Coturnix japonica: one gene and its partner. The main gene of each other region encodes a partner of the protein of the gene in region 2 in a complex. Links are inferred from orthologs where the notes say so. Each region holds a gene or a part of one and is shown on either strand. Other genes may lie near its edges.

Region 1 (10,455 bases), on a different chromosome or scaffold from region 2:
GAATACACTGACATTAGATCTAATTAAGTAAAAACATTACAAGCCTAAACAAAGTTCTTAGGTCATACAGAAGCAACAGATACAGCCATTCTTAGATTTGTTTTTAAGTAGAAAGGCTTGTTCTTCAAGCAGCACGCAGGAAAATATATGGAGCTTTTGACTGCAAAGAAGGGTAACAAGCAGGTTTCCAAAACAACAGATCTACAGCCCACACTTAACCATGAGGGACACCATTATACTCCACTTTGGCACCCGTTGGTCAAGCATCCTGCCCAACTCGCTTTGCATCACCACTACCAAGGATCAGCTATCTCAGAGGTGTTACCTGGGACCAACAGGAACGTGAATGGTTTCATTCCATCCCACCTCCACGTGCTGCCTGCCAACCCCACACACAAACACAGATCTCAGCACCCTCTGATTTAAATGAGCATCAGCCGAACACACCTTCACCAGGAAACCACAGGAACACCCCCAGCAGCAGCCAGGGGCTCACATAGCTACTTATGGATCCTCTCCAGCAGTGCCCATCACATTCTCTGCTACTTTGGTTTAACAAAGTATCCCTCATGAAGTCCTGGAGTTTGCAACAGTCACGGTTCCATCAGTTACAGGGTAACAGCTTATTGGGACAGTGGCAATTGGTTTAACCAGGTGCCATTTCATGGTCCCAACAAGGAAAAGCAAAGCGTGGAAGCAGAATTACATGAACCCCTTACAAACCAGCTTTTCATTGCATGTGATTTGAAGGTATTTCCAAGGCTTTAACCAACACGGGGATCATAGCTTTTCACGTTATGAAAGAGCTCAGCTTGGTGGGGTCATCAGAAGGAAGGAGCTGTGATTAAAAAGCACCTCACATGTAGAAACGCATCAACATCTTGTGGAACAAGAGCTCCTTTCAGGCAAGCTCTGCACAGCTATCACAGGACCACGAATGGCATTTCATATGACTGTGCCTGAAGCAACAGCCATGAACCAACTGAGCAGCAGCTGACACCAGCCAAGTACAGCTGCTCTGGGTTCTGCAGCTCAAAAATGAGTCCTTCCCTGCTCCAGAAAGACAGATTTGAGACAGTCTTTGTACGTCACACCCTCCACGATGCTGAGGATCATTAGTCTGACAGCGTATGACCGAAAATCTCTAACCCCCAACCTGTTCAATCTCTCCTTTGTAGGTGACACAATGGTTTTGCCCCTTCCACATTGAAAATTCAAGTCAAGTCCAGCTTATTCATTCTTAGCAGACTCCCTTTTATAAAGGGGCTTCAAAGTTTGACACAAATTTGGCACCGGGGCTAAATGCCAACACAGACTGCTAAATTAAACATGGGAAACATGAAAGAAGAACTGTAACATGAAACTGTAACATCTTTGTCTAGCTGCTTCTCTGATGTAAGTCAGATGCGTCCCGTACCTTGGGGAAGGCCGATGACAATTATACTTTGGACCAGACAGCCGTTCAAAGCCTTCAGAATCACTGTTACTAATAAAACTCTTCATTTTGCTCATGTCCTTCAATTGCATGCATTAAAAATGGTTTTGTTTAAAAGTGAAATGATTTGGGGTAATTTTCCCACTGATTTTGCCTTTATTTTGTTAAAGTTAGAATTGAGGTTGTAACTCCTCTGACTGGAGCTGAGTCAGTTTCCCCCCTTTGCTTTGCTGTGTGCTACTCCACACCAAACCAAGGCCTGAGTCCTTCAGACTGAGCGCTTACAGCTCCCAAGAGAAGTGAGTTTTCTGGCTTTTTTTTCCTGCAAAGAACAAGCTGAAGGACACCAATGTGCCTTTAAACACTCATGCCAATGACAGAAGACACTGAAACCAAAGGGTTCAACCTGCCCTTCGAAGACCACCTTGTTCAAGGCTCTTGGTCTGCGATGATTAATGCCTGTCTGCATCCTAATTTTGACATATGAGTTATAAGCACAGGATCCAGTCCACACCTCCTTCTGCTTTTGCCTTCTGCTGAAATCCAAACCTCAGATCCCTCCATAAGCTATGTTTAGTAACTCCCTTCCACTCCTCCCCGTTTTCTCCAGGCAGAGTCAACTTTGTCACTTCAGACAGACATTTGTCTGACCTGCTTAAAGACCCCGGGTACAAAGCAATAAGATTCACAAATCCCCATATAGATTTATCACTATATTGAGCTTACTGCAATAATTCTTGCAATAGACACGGATGTGAATCACGGAACAGCGCAGCATACACATACAGTTTGAACAACCACCCAAGCAAACAATCATTTGGTGACTCGGTAACACACTGTCAGCAAAATTAAACATTTCTTCCTACATTAGTTTTATCGCCTCCTCCCTGACACGCTGGCATGTTTTCCTGTCACATGATCCAGGTGCAGCACTCAGAGTATCTGATTTGAGGGTGTATCTGATTTGAGGGTGCCGCCCACTTGGCTGCCTTCATCACCCTGTGACACAGACTTGAGTAACTTCCATTGCGATGATGCAGCCAAAGGCAGCTGCATCAGGGTACACACATAAGGTCAGCTACAGAACCAGCTCAGCTAGACACGGTGCAGATACAAATACAGGTGGATTGAAGTTGAAGCTGTTTAACTGCCCGTGTTTCCAAGTCCAAGTGAAACTCCTGCTATCCACACACAACCACAGCAGCATACACGTTCTTCTTCCTGCAGGAGTAAGATCACAGAACACTGAATCTCTTTTCCCCTCCAACTTCTTTGTTGCAGGGCTCACTGCCTCACTACTGGGTAGGAAAGTTAAGCTGCACGCTGCTGTGAGCAGAACAAACCAGTAGGAAGTTCCTCTATTTCTCCAGCTCCGCCACAAAAAGCACCATGTTAAAAGCCAGGCAAATTAGAGCAATTAGGAAGATCACAATCAGTATCAAAGGGAACTGAAAAGATCTGGTACTTCTGAATTCTTCCTTATCTGAAAGTCCCTAACAAAAGTCCACAGACAACAGCTTTCAGAACATTTCTTAAAAACTCAGTTCAGGAACAAAGAGGCAAATTAGGACATCAGTACATTCATGCTTCTACTCAAACAACACACCATTAACACTCACCAAGACAACGCTGCAAGTAAGAACTCAAATAAGAACTACAACGTCAAGGAGAAAGTAAAAGAAGGCTCCTGAGTTCCTCAGGACAGCCCAGACAGAGCGTGGGACACCCAACTACATCACTCACAAGTGTCCATTTTGCTATCAGGTGACACAAGGAACCTTCACAATGAAGGGAAACAAACAACATGAAGCCAATAACGGGCTGTGTCCAAGAAAACAGTGCTATATTGACATTCTCTCCTTTTTTTTGACATTCTCTCCTCCAGACCAAAGTCCACAAAGCAGTTAAAGCTGCTGTTGGACAGGGACAAGGAATGGTTTGTTGGTCCAGGAGGCTGGGACACCTGACAGCACATTTGTAGGGCAATGCTTTTCACTCAGATCCATAACAGATACACACACGTGTGCAGGGCAAACAAAGCTCTACAAATTCAGCTCTCTTCAACAACACCACCTTCATCTTCAGTGCTATTTTATTAATTTTGGGAAAATTTAGAAGGCAAACAACCCAGAGCCAAACAGGGGACACGAAGTCTGGAAATAGACTCATAAGATGGTTTGTTCTATTACAGGTAATGCTGTCAATCCAATTTCCTACAGGAGTTGAGAGGGGCAAAGAGCTGAGAGCAGCCACCCTGCACAGCTGCTTTCTGTTGGATTGCTTTACACTCCAGCAGGAAAAAAAAAAAACAACACCAAAAAGCCTTAAGTCAGCGATGAGAGCATTATTAGGTGTTTTCACCCCATTTTTGTGTCAATATCTGCTTGACAAGGAGCACTCCGCACCACCTGTTGCTGCCCGCAGCTCTGATCACAGAATCACAGAACTATCAAGGTTGGAAAAGACCTAGAAGATCTAGTCCAACCATTCCCAATACTTCCAGGCTAAATCATATTCCTCAGCACCACATCCAAGCGTTTCTCGAACACTCCCATGGTCAGTGACTCCACCACCTCCCTGGGCAGTGCATTCCAATGCCTGACTACCCTTACCGAAAAGTAATACTTCCTAATGTCCAGCCTGAATCTCCCCTGACGCAGCTTAAAACCATTCCCTCTAGTTCTATCACTGATTACACGAGAGAAGAGGCCGAGCCCCAGCTCACTACAACCCCCCTTCAGGAAGTTATAGAGAGCCATAAGGTCTCCAGGCTGAACAATCCCAGCTCCCTCAGCCTCTCATAAGTCCAGTTCTCCAGACCCCTCACCAGCTTTGTACCCCTCCTCTGAACGTTTTACAGCGCACCCACAACGGGTGGGCAGCGCATCCAGCTCCTGGCTCCCCGCCCGCCCCGCAGCGCTGCATCCAACGGCGGGTAACGGCGGGGGGGGCGGATAGAACCATCCTCAAGGCCTCGCCCCGGTTCCCCCCGCAGCCCCGGGAGGAGCATCGAGGAAACGCGGAGCCGCCCTGGCCCCCCCGTCCGCACTCACCTCCTCGGCCTGTTTGCGCAGCGCCTTCTCCCGCTCGTACTGTGTGAGCAGCTGCTCGTTGTCGTCCCGCAGCAGCTCCAGCTCCACGCTGGTTTCCTGGCTGTGCGCACACACCGAGTCCAGGTTCTCCAGCACCGCCACCACTAACGGCATCAGCTCCGCCACCACCTCCTCGTCGTAGCGACCGATCAACCGCTCGAACTCGCGGTAGATGGAACCGGCCAACCCCGACACCCGCTCCGACATCATGGCGGGGCCGGGGCCGCCGGGATCCTCCTGGTACACCACGCCGTCAGCCAGCTCCATGGCGGCAGCCGGGCCGGGGGGGCGGCGGGGCCTCGGCTGCGGCCGGACCGACGGGGGGACGGAACGGGCGGGGGGCGGAGAGCGGCGCGCGGTAATGACGTCACCGCAGCGACGGGACGGCGGGGCTAGAGTCACGTGGAGGGGGCGTGGCCTGGGAGTGACGTCACGAGGGGGCGGGGCTTATTGTGTGGGTGATGGCGGTCACGTGAGCAGGGCTGGGTTGCAAGATGGCGGCGGGGTGGGGGCTGTACAGCCCTGATCTGTTATACTGCTGTTGTGTGCTATGGGCTGTGTGTGTGCTATGGGCTGTGTGCTATAAGCTATGGGCTGTGTGCTATGGGCTGCAAGCAGAAGTGGGTCAAGGTGTCTGACAGCCCCTCAGGGCCCTCTAAGCACACGCTATTTTTACCTTATTTCTATTAGAATTGACAGCCGTGGTTCTATTTCGAGCAGCTGCATTGAGCCCGGCCCGAGTCAGTGCAGGGAGGAGCGGCTGGTTGTGCTGCTTTTATTTCTGGCCACCTGGATGTTTTCAAGCACAGATAAATGAAGTGTTTAGGAATAAAATCCATCTGGGACAGGTCTCAGGTGCTGTAAGATGCACCTTGTTGGCAAATCTTATTTCTGGTCATGTTTTATCACAGCGTGAGATCAGGATCTCGGGGTTGTATTAAAACAGCACCAGGTCCGGAGCTGTATCACAGCGCTCTGCCATGATAACAGACATGAATTATCGGTACCGGCTGCGGACGGACCCGATGCGCCGAGCGCCCCCTGCTGGCGGGAGGCCGCATTACAGCCATGACGCGGAGCGGCCCCGGGGGCGGCCGGGGTTTAAGCCGAGCCGGGCGGCAGCGACAGCGGCAGAACCGAGCGGGGCTGCGGGACCGAGCGGGGTCTGAGCGGGGTCCGGCCGTGTTGGAGTGTGAACCTGTGTGTGCTCAGCCCCGGACAGCAGCCAGGAGCATGGCTGCCATCACTGAGCGAACCTTCATCGCCATCAAACCCGACGGCGTCCAGCGGCGGCTGGTGGGGGAGATCATCAGGCGCTTCGAGCGGAAGGGCTTCAAGCTGGTGGCCATGAAGCTCACACACGTAAGCTGCCCTTCCCTCGTGTTCTTAATAGAAATATCAAGCTGATAACAGAGCGGGAGGTGATAACAGAGTGCTCCGAAGGGTTAAACCTGGAATTCCTTTGGGTGCTCTGGAGAAGTTCCAGTCGCCAGCTCTGGCTAAATGCTTTAGACACGCTAAGCACGCTAATTTTAGTAACTTGATGTCCTTAGTGAGGAGAACGCTCCTGTAGGAGCATCCTGTGCCCAGCTGGTATCTGGATATATTCAGCAATTACCAGGTCACACAGGTTACCTGCTGGGCAACAGACGCCTTTAGAAGCTCAGCTGTAGTTCAGGCCAACCACTGAAACCCGCATTTACTGCATCCAATGTAGGAGCTTCCTACAAGTGCCAGCTTTCCAAGCATGGCCTTGCAGCCAGGTGATCTCAGCTCACTTTGCTGTAAACTTTCTGTCCTTGTGGGGTTTTTGATTATTATTATTATTTTTTTTCCATTCAGGCCTCTGAGGACCTTCTACGGGAGCACTACATCGACCTCAAGGAGCGCCCGTTCTACGCCGGCCTGGTGCAGTACATGCACTCGGGGCCTGTTGTAGCTATGGTGAGTCCTGCAGATGAGGTTTAGCTGTAGAGAAACATGGTGCTGACTTGCCTCACTAAGAGCCTTGTGTTACCTGTTGGATGCCAGCTCACCTATAAGAGATTTTAGAAACTTAGGTTTAAATAATGTGGTTGAGACAGTATGTTGAAGAAGAGGGCAGGGGGAACTGAGAACCGAAGCTGAGAGCTAGAGAGATAGGAAAGCTGCATGAAGAACCCACTATGGAACAGCATAGGAGCTGTTAGGGTGCTGGTTTGTGCTGCCATGGGTGTCATTCTGGGACACATTATTAACTCTTCCTGCTCTGTCTACAGATCAGATTTTAGAATCTCAAAGCATCTTTCTTTTCCCCTGAGGTGTGGGAGGGTCTTAATGTGATTAAGACTGGAAGAGTGATGCTGGGGGAAACTAATCCCATGGACTCCAAACCCGGCACTATTCGTGGTGACCTCTGTGTGCAGGTTGGCAGGTATGTTTTCCAATTATCGATATCTGCAGACAGTGCAGGGCGGTGCTGTCATGGCACAGAGCTGTGCTGCAGGCTGCCCTGCCTGGGGCCGTTCCTAGAGCTGGATGAAGAGCTGTAGGTCCTCACCGTGAATGCAGTGCTGTGCTTGGAGGTTGGAGATTGTATCACTGTAATGTCCATCTTTTCCCAGGAACATCATCCATGGCAGCGATTCCTTAGAAAGCGCCGAGGCTGAGATCAACCTGTGGTTCACTCCTGAAGAACTGGTTGACTACAGGAGCTGCGCTCACGAATGGATCTACGAGTAGAACTGAGGCTCTGCCTTCGGTATCGTGTCCTGCAGTGAGCTCCGCTCCATAGCATCACCTCCTGCAAAGCCGCTTCAGCACCGCTGTGAATAGCGATCGGTGCTTCCTGTCGCTTTGCTTAGAAAGCTGCAAAGCTGGAGATAGGAAATGTGCGTTTAGGGCCGTGTCAGGCGTTCGTGTGGTGGTAGAGGTGAAATTAAATGGCAGAGAAGCAAAATGTCCCTCGTTAATAACACACACCGTCCAGCCGTAGCACGCTCGGCTTCCAGGGTTAAGTACCAAACCCGATGAACCCAAAGCAGCTACGAGCAAAGAAACCTCGATGTCTGTTTCCAAACCGTGCGATGCCCGGACGCGGAGCTCAATCCATCACTGAGCGGCCCGTCCCGGAGCTCCGCTGTTCATCCCGCATCCTCCCCGCAGCGCTCATTGCTCACAGCCGGATCCGCACCGCCCATCCATCACAGCGCAGCGCCGCTGCACCCCCTCCGTGCCCCTCCCTCCCGCAGGGCGGTGTTCCGGCTCTCGGCCGCCTCCTCCTTCTCTTTCTTTCTGCTGCGGAGCTCACGGCGGTGGCTGCGGAGCTGCGGGAGGTGCCGAGTCGGGTCGGGGCTGATCGGGTCGGCGGGAGGGATCCGAGCGGGGCAGGCTGCACGGTGCGGATATCGGCCCGGGGGGGACGGGACGGGACGGGAGCGGAGCGGGGCAGTGCGGGGCGGGCGCCACGTGGGCCGTGCGGAGCAATGGCGGAGGGGCCGCGGGCCGACCTTGAGCTGGAGGGGGGGGGGGGCTCGGGTTGAGGCCGTGTGCTCGTGTTCCGCAGCGCCATGGCTGCCAACTGCGAGCGAACCTTCATCGCCATCAAACCCGACGGCGTCCAGCGGGGGTTGGTGGGAGAGATCATCAAACGCTTCGAGCAGAAGGGATTCAAACTGGTGGCCATGAAGTTCGTGCACGTAAGTCCAGGCCGGAGCTGCCGGCTGTGCCCGGCTCTTTCTTTCCGCTGTCGCCGCGGTCCGTGCGATTCACACCGCCAGGAGAGCGCCGGGTCCGCAGCGCTGAGCTGCAGCGCGGGGAGACAGAGGGGGAACACGGGGCAGCAGCTGCTGCGGTGCTGGGAGCAGCACAGTAACACGGGGATAAATGATACAGCAGTGACACCTCTGTGGTGCGGGGTGGGGGCTGACATTTTCCATTTGTCCTCCCAAAGGCCTCTGAAGAGCTCCTGAAGCAGCATTACATCGACCTGAAGGATCGGCCCTTCTACCCCGGCTTGGTGAAGTACATGAACTCCGGCCCCGTGGTGGCCATGGTACGCAGCCTGCTCTTCCATGTGCAGAGCCATAAGATGTGTGCTTCAAACACGTGCTGCAGTGCTCGTTGTGTTCAATAGAGCCCCTCAAAACTTACTTTCTGCACACACACACCAAAAAACCCCTTACAGCTTGGGGGTAAAAACTGAGAGGAGCTGGGGGGGGTTGGTTTAGTGGTGAAGCCCTCACTAGGGCTCAGCTGTTGTGCAGTGTTCGATGCAGGCAGGGACTGATGGTGCTTTGCTGTTTTTTCTCCCATTCAGGTGTGGGAAGGGCTGAATGTGGTTAAGACTGGCAGAGTGATGCTGGGGGAAACCAACCCTGCGGACTCAAAGCCCGGCACCATCCGTGGGGATTTCTGCATCCAAGTGGGAAGGTCAGTGCTCAGCTGCTTCTCTATGGGGATCACACTTAGCAGGGGCAGGATTTTCTTCAGGGAAGACAAATTGCTGGTGGCTTAACCTGCTTTGATGGGGTTTCATTTGCAGGTTGCAGCCCATAATGGCTACATGGGACAGTGGCTGGGTACAAAACTTCTTAAAACTCAGCTACGTGGCAGAGCTCCATGTAAGATCAGGCAGTGGCTGCTGCAGTAGAATAGCCCTGAGCCCCCACCCTGTTGGGTGTAGTGAGCAGAGCTTATAGTGGGGCTGTGCAGGTGCTGTACCTGAGATGGGGGCTGTCGCTTTAGGTGCTTCATCCTCACTTCTTCCACGTGGCATTTCCACCCTTAGAGGTTTCTTTCTTGATACTGAACAATGTTGCACTGCTCCACAGAAACATCATCCACGGCAGCGACTCTGTAGAAAGCGCCCAGAAGGAGATCAACCTGTGGTTCAAAGCGGCAGAGCTCATCGACTACAAACCCTGTGCACATGACTGGATCTACGAGTGATGTTTCCACAACAAACTGTGCCTTGTGGAGGTGTCACCTCACTGCAGCTGACGGTCTGGGAGCAATCAGTGCAGCGCTGCTCATGGCAGGTTTTCAGAGCAGTCAAATAAATGGATGATACAAACCAACTGCTTACGGTGCTTTCATTGTAGGGCAGAGCAGTGAGCTGCCCCAGCTGGGTGAATGTGAATGGGGAGGGAGAGGATGCTGCATCTCCTCACATAGAGCTGCACTGAAGGGAAAACCTGATGCTTCCCCATGATAATTTCTAGCCCTATGCACAGTTGTAAAATAAAGCCAGGTGCAAAACCTGCCTCTCCTGGGCTGCAGCTCCATTGTGTGCCCAGCAGCAGCTCCACAAGGAAACAACATCCAAGAACTGACTTGTAACGTTTTTATTTTGTGTAAAAAAGGCAAATTTAGTGAATTATTTCCATCTTGTACACAAAGTTATAATTTTAATGCTTTTCACATCCATGCTGAAAATCTGCGGTCTCATAAAAATGAAAGGAACGTTTCGTTTCCCCAAAAGCATTTTTTTTTTTCCACGTATGTACATTGTGTGAGAAAGCCTTCAACTCCCTCATTGACCACACGAGTTACCAAGAAAATAAAAGATAAATTTGTACAGATATTGATTTATATATCAAATACATACAGAAATGATGTAAAAACCCCATTTGTTTCACCTCCAATCCTGCCCCGGCGCCTCCCCGGGGCCGGAGCTGACAGCTGTGTGTATAAATGGCTGCGGCTTTGTTTTAAATAGCAAAATTAAAAGGAAGAAAAAATTCAGTTTAAATCACAGTTTTTTTTTTTTAAAAATCCCTTCCCAATAAAGGATTGTTACCAAATATATTAGCACCATTGTACAAATCCGGACAGGGGAGGGGATTCACATCACGTAAAACAACAAGAAGAACAAACAAACACTGAAACCCGTGTTAGTATCCGTAGAACAAAGAGCTGATGACCACCTTCACTTCCTCGGGTGCAGCA
Region 2 (10,791 bases):
TGCCAACAGCAAAAATGTGACTCCTGGTTTCTTTCCTCGTTTTGCTAATCATTATGAATTTCCAGGTATGCCAGATACCGTGCAAATAAAAGCAGACAATGCTCTATGCTGAATGCCTGGGGAACAAAACAAGTCATGAGACATGCCAGTACTCATCTCTTCTCAGCTGGGCACCTTGAAACAACTGCTTAGCATTAAATACAACTTTAAATTACCTATTAATAGTTTTTCTATCTTACTTGAAACAATGTTAAAAAACAGAAAGTTTTGACACAAACATGCAGCACTTGCAAATGTAAATGCAGAAATCATTCATGTGCCAAAGGGGTTGAACAATCACAGAAGTCAGCACTGAGAGATACTTTGTTTTAATGTCATTCTCCTTTGAGTTAGGCAAGCCAGAATAAAAATAAGGGAAATAATAGGAGGCAAAAACCCTTCTGGGTTTAGGCTTCACTCTGCTTGCACCTCACTAAGGACTACTAAGAGATGTAAATAACTGAACAAGTAACAAGGCACAAAATCAACACCCAAGCCTCTTACAATGACAGTTAGCTTTGATGCTTCTTCAACAAACACCTTGAGGTTTTCATTTACTTTTCCTACCTACAGCACCCCCATGCTAAGGGTCTCAAGATATAAATCTGTTGTCAGAACACGTAGCTTGTTTTCCAATGCTCATCTTTGGCCTTTTCCCCCCAGAATTCCTCGATACCAGTGATCAATATTGTTCTCACTTCCTGCTCACGACCAGCCTTCCAGATACACTGGAGGGGTGGAGAAGTGAGAGCAGGAAGAGGGACAATTCACAAACAGAATTTTCTCTTTCCAGTTTCTGTATTTACACACACAGAAACGACTGAGGAAGATGTTACACAAAACATGAAGGACTGCATTGTATAGATGCGGCGGGGACAAGCCAGAGACCAGGAGATCTACAAAGGAGTATTATAAGACAGAAAACAATTGGCAGCTCATTTCAGCAAATGCTCAACTACCCACTAAGTTTACAGACATGGGAAATGCTCCTGCACGCTCTTAAAGTATTGCTGCTTTTCATATAAAACTTATGGTAAAGTAAAGCTGTAGCAATTCACATTAAAAAAAAAGGTGGGAAGAGATTTACATAGCAAAATAAAAATTGGGCACGAAATCACCTAACTGCCGTTACACTAAATAGCTTTGCAATGTTAGATCGGAAAATACCTAAAAGAGAATCATAAAGAAGCTTGTAAAAACATAACTCAATAAAGCTTCAGCATCTTCCACAGTGAGTGCCTTTAGCAATTCCAGTTTGGGCCAAAGATCCTGACACATGATGAGCTTCTACGTGCAAACCTGTACTCAGAATTTGTTGGTCACATAATTAACAACAGATGACTTTCAGTACTGAAGGAACTGGATAAATATGTGAACCACATCCAAAACCAAACATTAACTGCAGTGATTACTTACAACATCAACTTCTTTGTACTCGAACATTAAAAAACAGGACGTACAGATAAAAACAGAGTATCTTCATCTTCCAACAGGAGACTGACCACAGGTCCTCACGACCACTTCTCATCACAGTGAGCTGAGCTCAGACCATCACTGCTGCTCCATTCTGTTAAGGACTCTGACAAGACAGGACTCCGTAGGTTTGTCAGTGCACAGCATTTCCAGTCAGTGACACCTACAACAGGTAGAGGAACCGTTTCCATCATTGAAATGCACAATAAAAATCCCCCAATTAAGACTTAGCATTCCTGCACCAAGAGCTAACAGATTTTTCCTCTACTGCAAAAGCAGCAAACCTGAATCTTTATATCAGTATCTAAGCTAATTTTTCTTATGTTCTAAATGTTAACAGTCAAACCATTGAGCAAGTACTGTTTAAGCTGTACCCTACAGTTACTCAAAATGCACATACTATTGTGAGAGGACACTTCAATATCTGACCCCCAGAATATTTCCATTCATTTTTAGTTCTCCCAACGACTTTCAAGTCCTCTAAAATCATTACAACATGCAGCATATCACACAGCATATGCTCACATGGGGCAGAAGCAATATTTAAACTCCTTTGGTTTTGAACTTTGAATTAATTCATCCCCATCCTGGAGAAAAGCAGTTCATAATTTTAAAGAACACATTCTTAAGAAAGCAAGAAAACCCTCTAGATTTCCAGAAACTTATTTTTTTCCCCATGGTGATGGCTGATACCTACTGTTACAATCAGAAAGGTCAGCATGGAGGACCAGCAATACAGGAGTGAAACAGCAAAGGGATCAGAGCAGACAGAATGGATTCACACAGAGAAAGGAAAGTGCTCACCAAGATCTAGGCTCGCAGGAAAGACTCCACAAGAGAGGAATCTCCTACCAGAGATCCTTCTCCTGTGGCAGTCAGTCCTTAAATGAGGTCTAACAGAGGTGCAGCCAGGCTCCACCCCTTCTTGTCTCACAGCTGAACTGCCTTTGCTTGTGCTCCCAGGGCTGACCAGTCCTTTCCCCAGGGGATCAATCAATGGGACAGGCTGGGACTTACTGGTTACCATACACGTACAGATGCTCTACTTTTCCAAAGATCTTCACCTGTGCCGTTGAACCACATTCCAGACTGAGACATCCTTGGTGAAACTTCAGCCTAGTTCAACCTAGGGGCCACCTTCGTTCACACCTGTAAAGGAGAATTTAAAACAGAGGTAAAATAAAATTCACCTTGAGCCAGAAGTTAGAAAACTTTGCCAAGTTTACATCCTAAAACACTGCTTTAGCACAATGAAACCAGTGTTATCGAATAGTAAATAAAACAACTCATCCAATGGCTCTAACAGCTACACTACAGAGAGACTCATATTGTAAAACCATAGAAAAGGCTGAGTTGAAAAGGCCACAATGCTCATCCCATTCCAACCCCCTGATGTGTGCAGGGTCAGCAACCCCCAGACCAGGCTGCCCAGAGCCACATCCAGCCTGGCCTTGAATGCCTGCAGGGATGGGGCATCCACAGCTCTTTGCTCAGCCTGTGCCAGCCTGACCTCAGCGCCCTCTGAGAGCGTTTCTTCCCAACAACTAACTTAAGCCTCCCCTCTTTAAGTGTAAAGCCATTTCCCCTTATCCTATCGCTATCACACTGTTTAAATAGTTACATCCCCTCCTGCTTATAAGCTCCCTTCAAGTACTTGAGGGCTGCAATAAAATCACCCCACAGCCTTCATCACCAAAACCTGCTGCAAATAAAAAGAGCTGTAGAATTAAGGTTATTAGTTTATTTACCTTACACTGGATCCAGTTCCATCTCTCTGCCAGCTCTCACTCCCACTGAGCTGCCCATTGCACCTCGTCCAGATGATGTGGGTAAGATACACACCCTATAAATGAGAATATCACAGTAGAGGGTGAGAATTGCCGCCTATTAACAAACATAAACGTCTCAAGCTGCTCTCCCAGCCTCCACGCTGCACAGGGAAGCTCACTAAGGGTGCTCACCTCTGCATGCTGCACCGCAACAACAGGCCAGACCTGGTGCAAACATCGAGCCCTGCCAGGACGTTTTTAGCACCTCGTTTCAGCAGCTCGCCTGGCCAAAGATACAAGAGAACACACAGCTCTTATTGGCAAGGCAAGGCCGCACGGAGCCGGGCTTCAGGTGACACCCATTCACCACAACCAGAGCAACCGCCGGGCCTTCCCATCACCGCCACCTCTCCCGGACCCCCCTCACATCCCACCCCACACGGATCCCCCATGCTGCTCCAATGCTGCCCCATTCCCCCCCAACATGGCGCCCCTCCCCCTCCGGCCCCGCCCCTCCCCTCGCTCTTCCCGCCCATTCCCCCCCCCCTCCGTCGGCCCGCTCTTCCATTCCCCTCAGCCTCCCCTCAGCCGCCCCGTTCCGCACCTTTCCCTCCCTCCTGGCTGCTCGCCCCTTCCCCGGGCGGCTCCGGCTGGAAGCTCCGCTCCCCGCCCCTCGGCGCCTCCCCCAGGATCCGGCAGAGCGGCGGGGGGGAGAGCGGTGAGAGGGGGAGCACGGCGCGCCCCAGCCCCACCGCGGAGCCGCGCCGCTCCTTCCCCATCAGCCACCAGCACGGAATGATCCTCCGCTCCCAGCCGGGCTGTCCCCCTGGCCGGCTGTGCCGCTTCCCTATTGGCTCTCACAGCGCCTCGCTCTTTCCTATTGGTTACAGCCTCGCGGAGAGGCGAGGCGATTGGCTGGTTGAGCCGTCAGTCAATCCGGAGCCCCCACCTCCGCAGTTATCAGGTTAGTGTTCGCCGCGGCGCTGGGGCTCGGGATTCCGAGCGGCGCTGGTTGAGCCCTCAAAGTCCCTCATTACTGAGGGGGGGTCTGCGGCGGTGTCACCACACGGAGCGGAGCCGGGGACAGCGAGAAGAGCCTCCAGCACAGAGCCGAGACCATGGACATGAAGAAAAGGATCCACTTAGAGCTGCGGAACAGGACGCCCTCAGATGTAAGCAAAAAAAAAAAAAAAAAAAAAAAAAAAAAAAAAAAAAAGGCAGCTCATCTTTTTTTTTTTTTAAATTATTATTTTATTTATTTATTTATTTTAAAGGGGGAGGTGGGGTGTGTGTGTGGGGGGTCGACGCCTTTAAAGCTGTATACCCGAGCAGAGGGCCGCGGGCCGGGCGCTGCCTCCTCCTGCGTGGGGCTGTGGGGGGGGATGGAGGGGGGTCGGTTCTCACCTCACGCCTCGTACCCGGGGGGCGACCCCAGAGCGGGGCCGGAGCGGGGAGCGGCCGAGTTGTGGCGCCGGGGGGGTCCGGAGCGCGGCGGGTGTGTGCGCGGCGGGCGGGAGCGGAGGCTGGGGAGCCATATTTGTAACTTTGTGGTGCTCATGAACGCGCCCTTTCTCTCTCCTCCTCTCTCCCTCCCGATGCTGAGGGAGGGGGGGGGGAAAGGGGAAAAGGGTCGGTGGGAGCGTGGCCATGGGGGAGCGGGGGATTGAGAAAGGGAGCGAGGAGAAAAACAACGAGAGCGAGGAAGGGAATGCGCTCCGCACCTCTCCATCCCCGCACGCACAGAAGGGCCGGCTGCGTGTGTGTGTCTGTGTGTGTGTGTGCGTGTTTTCCTCTTTTTTTCGGCTTATTTTTAACCCTTATCCCCGCAGCTCGGGGCAGCGCTTCAGCCTCTTCCCCGAGCGAAGCGGCCGAGAAACTTTGTCAGGACGAAAATAGTCGGAGCCCGGGGGGTGCCCCGAGGCGGGCGGGCCCCCACCCCGAGCCCCGCTCCCAGGGTGGTGGTGGCGGCGGGTTTCGAACCCGCGGCCCCGAGCGAAGCCGCCCCCGGGGGCTGAGGGCGGCGGTGGGGTCCGCGCTGAGAGCGGAGGGGGGAGAGCGCGGCTGAATGGAACGTACCTCTAGGGGAGGAGGGCGGAGGCGGATGGATGGATGGATGGATGGATGGATGGATGGATGGATGGATGGATGGATGGAAGCTGCTCTTTAAACTTTAAAAAGTCCTGTGCCGGGAGGAGGAGGAGGGCACTCGGCGCTGCCGTCCCGCGGGGCTCATTGTCCCCCTGTGCGGGGGCACAAAGCGGGCTCGGAGCCGAACCGCTCCCCGCGCCGCTCCCGGGGCCGTCTCCAGGCGCGGGCAGCGCAAGTAGGACGCGGCGCCATGTTTTTTTCCCCTCCCGAGCTCTGAGGGAGGAGGAGGAGGAGAAGGAGGAGGAGGCGGTTTGTCCCTCCCCGCCGCTCCGCGCTCCCCTCCGCGCCGGGCGGGGGTTCCCCTCCTCGAGGGGCCGCTTCGGAGCCCTTAACGCTGCTCGGTGGCGGTGGGTGTGTGTGTGTATGGGGGGTCTGGGCTCGCCATAGCGGATCGCGGCCATCCCCTCCCCTCAGGGGGCGCGGCGGGGGCGGCCGGGGCTCGGAGGGGGCTCCTCCATGACGGACCGCCGCCGTCTGCCATTTTGTCGCCGCTGTCGCCGGGCGGGAGGAGGTTCCTGGCGGCGAGACGCGGCGGCGGGACGAGCGGAGGGTAAAGCGCGGCCTGCTCCTCTCCCACCCCCCTTCCCCTCCGCCGTTCCCCTTTGGATCGGCTCTTTGCCCCCTGGTCCCTGTGGGGCAGCGTTGGGGAGGGCGGGGGATGGGCTCTGAGCAGGGCCCGGCTTTGTTGTTGTTACTGTTATTAGCGTTATCCTGGAAGTATTTTTTATCTTTGTTTTGTGGGGTTTTTTCGCGTTTATTTGATGTAGTTTTTGTCTCTCGTGCTGCTGGACAGTGAGATAAAGCATTTCATGTGGACTCAGCCTCCATCCCAAGTGTGCTGGGTGCAGGCTGGGCTCTCCCCGTCATTCATATCTGCTTCAGCTTCTGCTCTGACTTAGAGGGAGTTCCCAGAGCCCCCATTGAGCGGTGGGTCACTGCTCTGGGAGTCCCGATCTGTTGCTGTTTCACTGCTCTGAGAAGCCCCACTTTGGTGCTGCTTCCTTCCATAGACAACCCCATCTCACTGCTGTATTGCTGCCCCTCGGCAGTTCAGAAACCCACCCTGCTGTAAAATAATGCTTGTTTGACCCGCCGTGTCTGTTTTATTTTAACCTCTTAACCTTTAATTCTGTCACTGTGTTCCACTTCCCAAGGTAACAAATGGGCTCGTAATCCGTTCTGTAGGTAAACAGTTGCGCCTGCATACAAAGGGGAGCTGCCCTTTGGGAGTGCTGCTCTGTTTACAGTCATTCCTGCACAACCATTGATGACAGATGCTTCCACCTGCTCTCGTGTTGTGGGGAGCTGAGGGTGCAGTTTGAACTCTGTTGCTTTAAAGTAGCTGTTAGAAGCAAATGCAGCTCAATCCAGCCAGTGCTCCAGCGTTTGAAGCTGAGTTTTAGTGTAAATATAATGCCAGGTATCATTGATTCGTGGATGTGGGGCATGAATAAGATGGTTCTGGGCACTGTGTTAATCTCTGCCCTCATAGGCAGCCGGTGTTTCTTGTATTTTCAAAGCTTTAAATGTAATGCAGATAAATCTTGCTGAAAACAAGGGCACAAATGGGAGTGTATTCGCTTCTTGGGGCTGCTATTGTATATGTGCTTAAGTCTGCAGTGCCTCTCACGTTCGATCTGTTCTCAGAGCTTGCAGAATCAAAACTTTCTGTAAATCAAGCTTTGATAAGGGAATGTTGATAAGGTGTTTAAGCTCAGAAAGCCCCTATTACCATCTTATGCTATGGGCTAATACAGCTGTGTCAGATACTATGTAATACTGTACAGCTACTCAGTTACATAACCCTGCAAGGTTACATGTTAGCCAATAAAAATGTAATATAAATGTCTCAAAGAGGATTGTATTGTAGCTATTTCCTTCTCAGGCTCCGCTGCTGTTTTATATGAGGTCGATGCTGGTGAGCAGCCTGGGGTTGCAGTGCCTGAAATTCGGTGGGTTTTGTGTGTGTTGGTGAGGAATCTATTTGTGGTGCCTGGAATTGGTTTTTCCTTGTTGTATGGCCCGAGTTGAGCTCTGCCATCTGCCTTGTAGGTATTGCCGCTTATTGTAACCCATTATGTTCAATGTTCTCTTACGGCAGTGCACGTGCTGTGGCCTTTGATGCTTTGCTGATCTTATCGCTATCATCTTCTATTATACTGCATTAAAGTGCCTACTAGAAATTGGTGTCTAGATGAGGAGCTATGAGATATGGGTTAGTGGCTTTTGCTGGCAACAGTAATGGGAGGACAGTTGGACTGGATGATCTTGTAGGTCCTTTCCAACCTTGTGATCCTATGACTCTGTGGTGAGATCCAACTGTTTTATATGGGTTTTCTCCAGGCCCGTAGTGATGTAACTACTGACCACAGGGGGCTGGGTGTGTTTGTGGGTGTTGCTGCTCATTTCTATTGTCTGTAACCCAGCTCATGTGCAATGATGTCAGTGTGAAGGGGGACTTCTCAGCCATGGGGCACAGAGGCAGCGTATGGAAGTTATGCACCAAACTCATCTCTGATGGCTTAGTGCCTCCATACCGGTTCACTTAGTCTGAGGATTTAGTGCTGCTTTTGAGAGGAGCTTTATCAGCTCAGATTTATGACAGTGATAAAGCTCTGCCTGCAACATTGGGTATCTCTTATGGTTTTTCTGACTTTCTCTTTCACTTTAAAACTTGTTTGGATTGTGATTTCCCTCTAGTTTACTGTAGGTTTTAACATTGAAGGGTGTAAGCATCTATGTGGAGTGTTCTCTCGTATGAAGAATCTAAATAACAGAGCTCTTTTCTCTAGTTATTTGGTGTGATGCTCACAATAACAGTAGAGACTTTAAAGTGATACATGTTGCTTCAAAGACCTGCATCTGAAAAAGTTTGGGTACAACCACCTGATGGTCTATAAACCCGATGGGAAGTGTTTGCCTTCGCATCACTGTGTGTGATTTGTGTTCTCTATGGGGGCACTTGTTTGTCCATTGACTTGGTCTGTTGAACACTTCCCCTCTAAAGCCATAAAAACGCTAAGGAAAAGCTTATCTTCTCTAAGTGTGATTTGCTAATGCGTTCTGTAGCAGCTGACATCTTTAGTGACTGCTTTCTGTATCAACTAAGCAGCTCTTGAAATTAGTATTAATTTAAATAGAGCACTTTTTGATGTATATCAGTCATTTGTTGCTGAGGGCAGTTTGATGCAGCTGAACAAAGTGAAGAGGTTCAGCTCAATACTTAGAACTTCCTAACTGCGGAGTTTTCAGGTTGTGATGTGATCTACCTTTTGGTTCTGCTTTATTTCATTGTAGCTGGCAGTAACTGAAGAGCACCTTGGATGTGCTGTCAGGCATGTGGCTCTCGTACAAGGAAGCTGGAACATGGAGCTGATATGCCCCCCATGAAGTCACCTGCCCCAGCCAGGAGCAGAAAGTGACATCAATGTGAAAGCATTTATTACAAAAACTGAGTAATTTAATCACTTACAGGTTTGAAACAGTCACCGTCTACATAAATATTTGGAGTCTAAATTAGAGTTTTGCTGCTAATGATAGAAATGAAAACTAGCTCTGTGCTTTTGAATGAAGCAGCTTTCTGTGTCCCCAATGTGTGTTCTCAGTTTATTAATTCATGTGGTGCTTATGCATACGGCTACATTGACCTTATAAGTGTGTGAAAGTATCTTTATGTGACCCGTGGGGTTTCATGCTGGGGTGCTGTTCCTTGAGGAAGGCAGCAGTAGATTATTATCTTTATTCTGGAGGCTTTTTGATTCTGAAGTTTCTTCCTAATTAGATACAGAGGTGTAGTGAGAATCATTAAGACTCTTAACTCTCCTATTGCTTACGTATTTCCTCTGCTCCATTAGGTTTCTCTCAGGTGCTGTGTGAAGGGGCTTCAAGTTGGCTGGAGCCAAATGTGTTGCTCTCGGGTCCTGTAACTGGTATGTGAAATGTTAGAGGGTAGAAAAAGTAAAGATCTCTGAGCTATGCAAGCAAACTTAGGCTGCCTCAGAAGAGAGAATAGCTTCAATAACAGATACATAAAAAGAGAAAATTAGAGTGTTTTCTTATCTCTCTTCTGCTCCTTCCCTTTTCCTGGCTTAGCAGTAATGCAGAGTCCTGGTGTGTTCTGTTTCTGGAAAAGAGATGCAGAAGATGAATTCAAATATGCAAGTTTGGGGTTGCATCATTAGGAGGAAGCCTAGGTGAATTTCAAAGCCCAGTAGTAGTTTCACATGACCTTGTTGCAAGACTTTGGAGCTCCAGCTCGGCTGAACACATACAAAATGGGCAGAATTAGCAGAAGTGGAACAGGTTAAATTGGAGCAGCCTGCATGGGGCACTGTTGTGCTCACCATCTGCAAACTGTGTTGTTTCAGAAAGGCCAGTTGGAGGGTGCTGGTGGAAGGGACAGCTACGATTGGGAGGGTGCAGAGATCCCAACAAAACAAGCTCCAGCCTCAGCTGCTCTGGAGCTCCAACATGAACCAAGTGTTTGGCAAGGGTGAGCTCTGCTGTTTGGCTGGGTACCTGCTGGCCATAATGATACCCAATGTTCACAGTGACAAGGGCCACACATTAATTCCATCCCATCTCTTCCCAGCTGTCACTCGCTGCTCTTCCTGCTGTGTGTTCTGCTGCATCTCAGGGCAGTGCTTTGTGTTCTGTGGCCTTTTTTTGAGCAGTGTTTCTCCTTGCTCCAGGCTTTGCAGATTTCTGCCCAACGCAGTGATGACCAGAGCCCGTGCAAGGTCAATGGACTAACTAACTTTCATTGTGGAAGACAATTCAAGCAAGTAAAATCTATTCATTTGTTGCATCTCAGCTTCTCATAGTGAAACTTTGAGGAGATGCATCAAAATCCAATGTCAGAAGTTGTTCTGGTAGGGGAAAAAAACAACTTTGCTACTGTCACCTGCAACCAATGCTTGTAAGCTCTATTCAGCAGGGAACAGAGCAAGGCAGAGTTAACACCCTCATCTTCTCCTGTTTCTGGGGGTTGAAATGCCACACACTGAGATATCCCTGTCCTAGGGGCACAGCAGCAAACACTTCAAAAGCATCTGATCCATTGTGCTGAAAATGAGATGTTACAGTCTTAGTAGCTCTGCTTGTGAAGCCACAGAATGGTACTTGTACTTGTAAATTTGCCTTTTATCTTTTAAAAACTGTATTCACAGCTGTGTCCTTCTGTCGCATTGTTAAGCCTTCAATCACAGACCTGGATTCAGGAGCTTAGTCCCACTTCTGGGTCTCCCTGCCCAGGGGCTGTAGGGAAAGTCTCTACTTCAGAAAGCCTTTTTTTACATGCTCTTATGGCAATGCAGATTAAGGGTTAAGGTGATACCTTGTGCTGCATAGTAGCTGTCTGTAA

What was found. Proteins that work in one complex are often made in the same cells at the same time.
Region 1: ANP32A (region 2) and nucleoside diphosphate kinase A-like share a complex: the UniProt entries of both Homo sapiens proteins name them as parts of the SET complex. The link is inferred for Coturnix japonica from reciprocal best matches to the Homo sapiens genes ANP32A and NME1.

Annotation. Positions count from the first base shown.
Region 1 is NC_029533.1:8,738,819-8,749,273, reverse strand, and holds nucleoside diphosphate kinase A-like, read left to right. Parts: upstream 1-5,136; 5' UTR 5,137-5,595; coding exon 5,596-5,889; intron 5,890-6,369; coding exon 6,370-6,471; intron 6,472-6,827; coding exon 6,828-6,940; intron 6,941-7,130; coding exon 7,131-7,248; 3' UTR 7,249-7,483; downstream 7,484-10,455. Other genes in the region: SPAG9 (C-Jun-amino-terminal kinase-interacting protein 4), read right to left, coding at 4,489-4,794; nucleoside diphosphate kinase, read left to right, coding at 8,076-8,204, 8,459-8,560, 8,825-8,937, 9,050-9,128, 9,253-9,456. UniProt on the Homo sapiens protein: Major role in the synthesis of nucleoside triphosphates other than ATP. The ATP gamma phosphate is transferred to the NDP beta phosphate via a ping-pong mechanism, using a phosphorylated active-site intermediate.
Region 2 is NC_029525.1:17,469,285-17,480,075, reverse strand, and holds the start of ANP32A (acidic leucine-rich nuclear phosphoprotein 32 family member A), read left to right. Parts: upstream 1-4,212; 5' UTR 4,213-4,399; coding exon 4,400-4,453; intron 4,454-10,791. UniProt on the Homo sapiens protein: Multifunctional protein that is involved in the regulation of many processes including tumor suppression, apoptosis, cell cycle progression or transcription. Promotes apoptosis by favouring the activation of caspase-9/CASP9 and allowing apoptosome formation.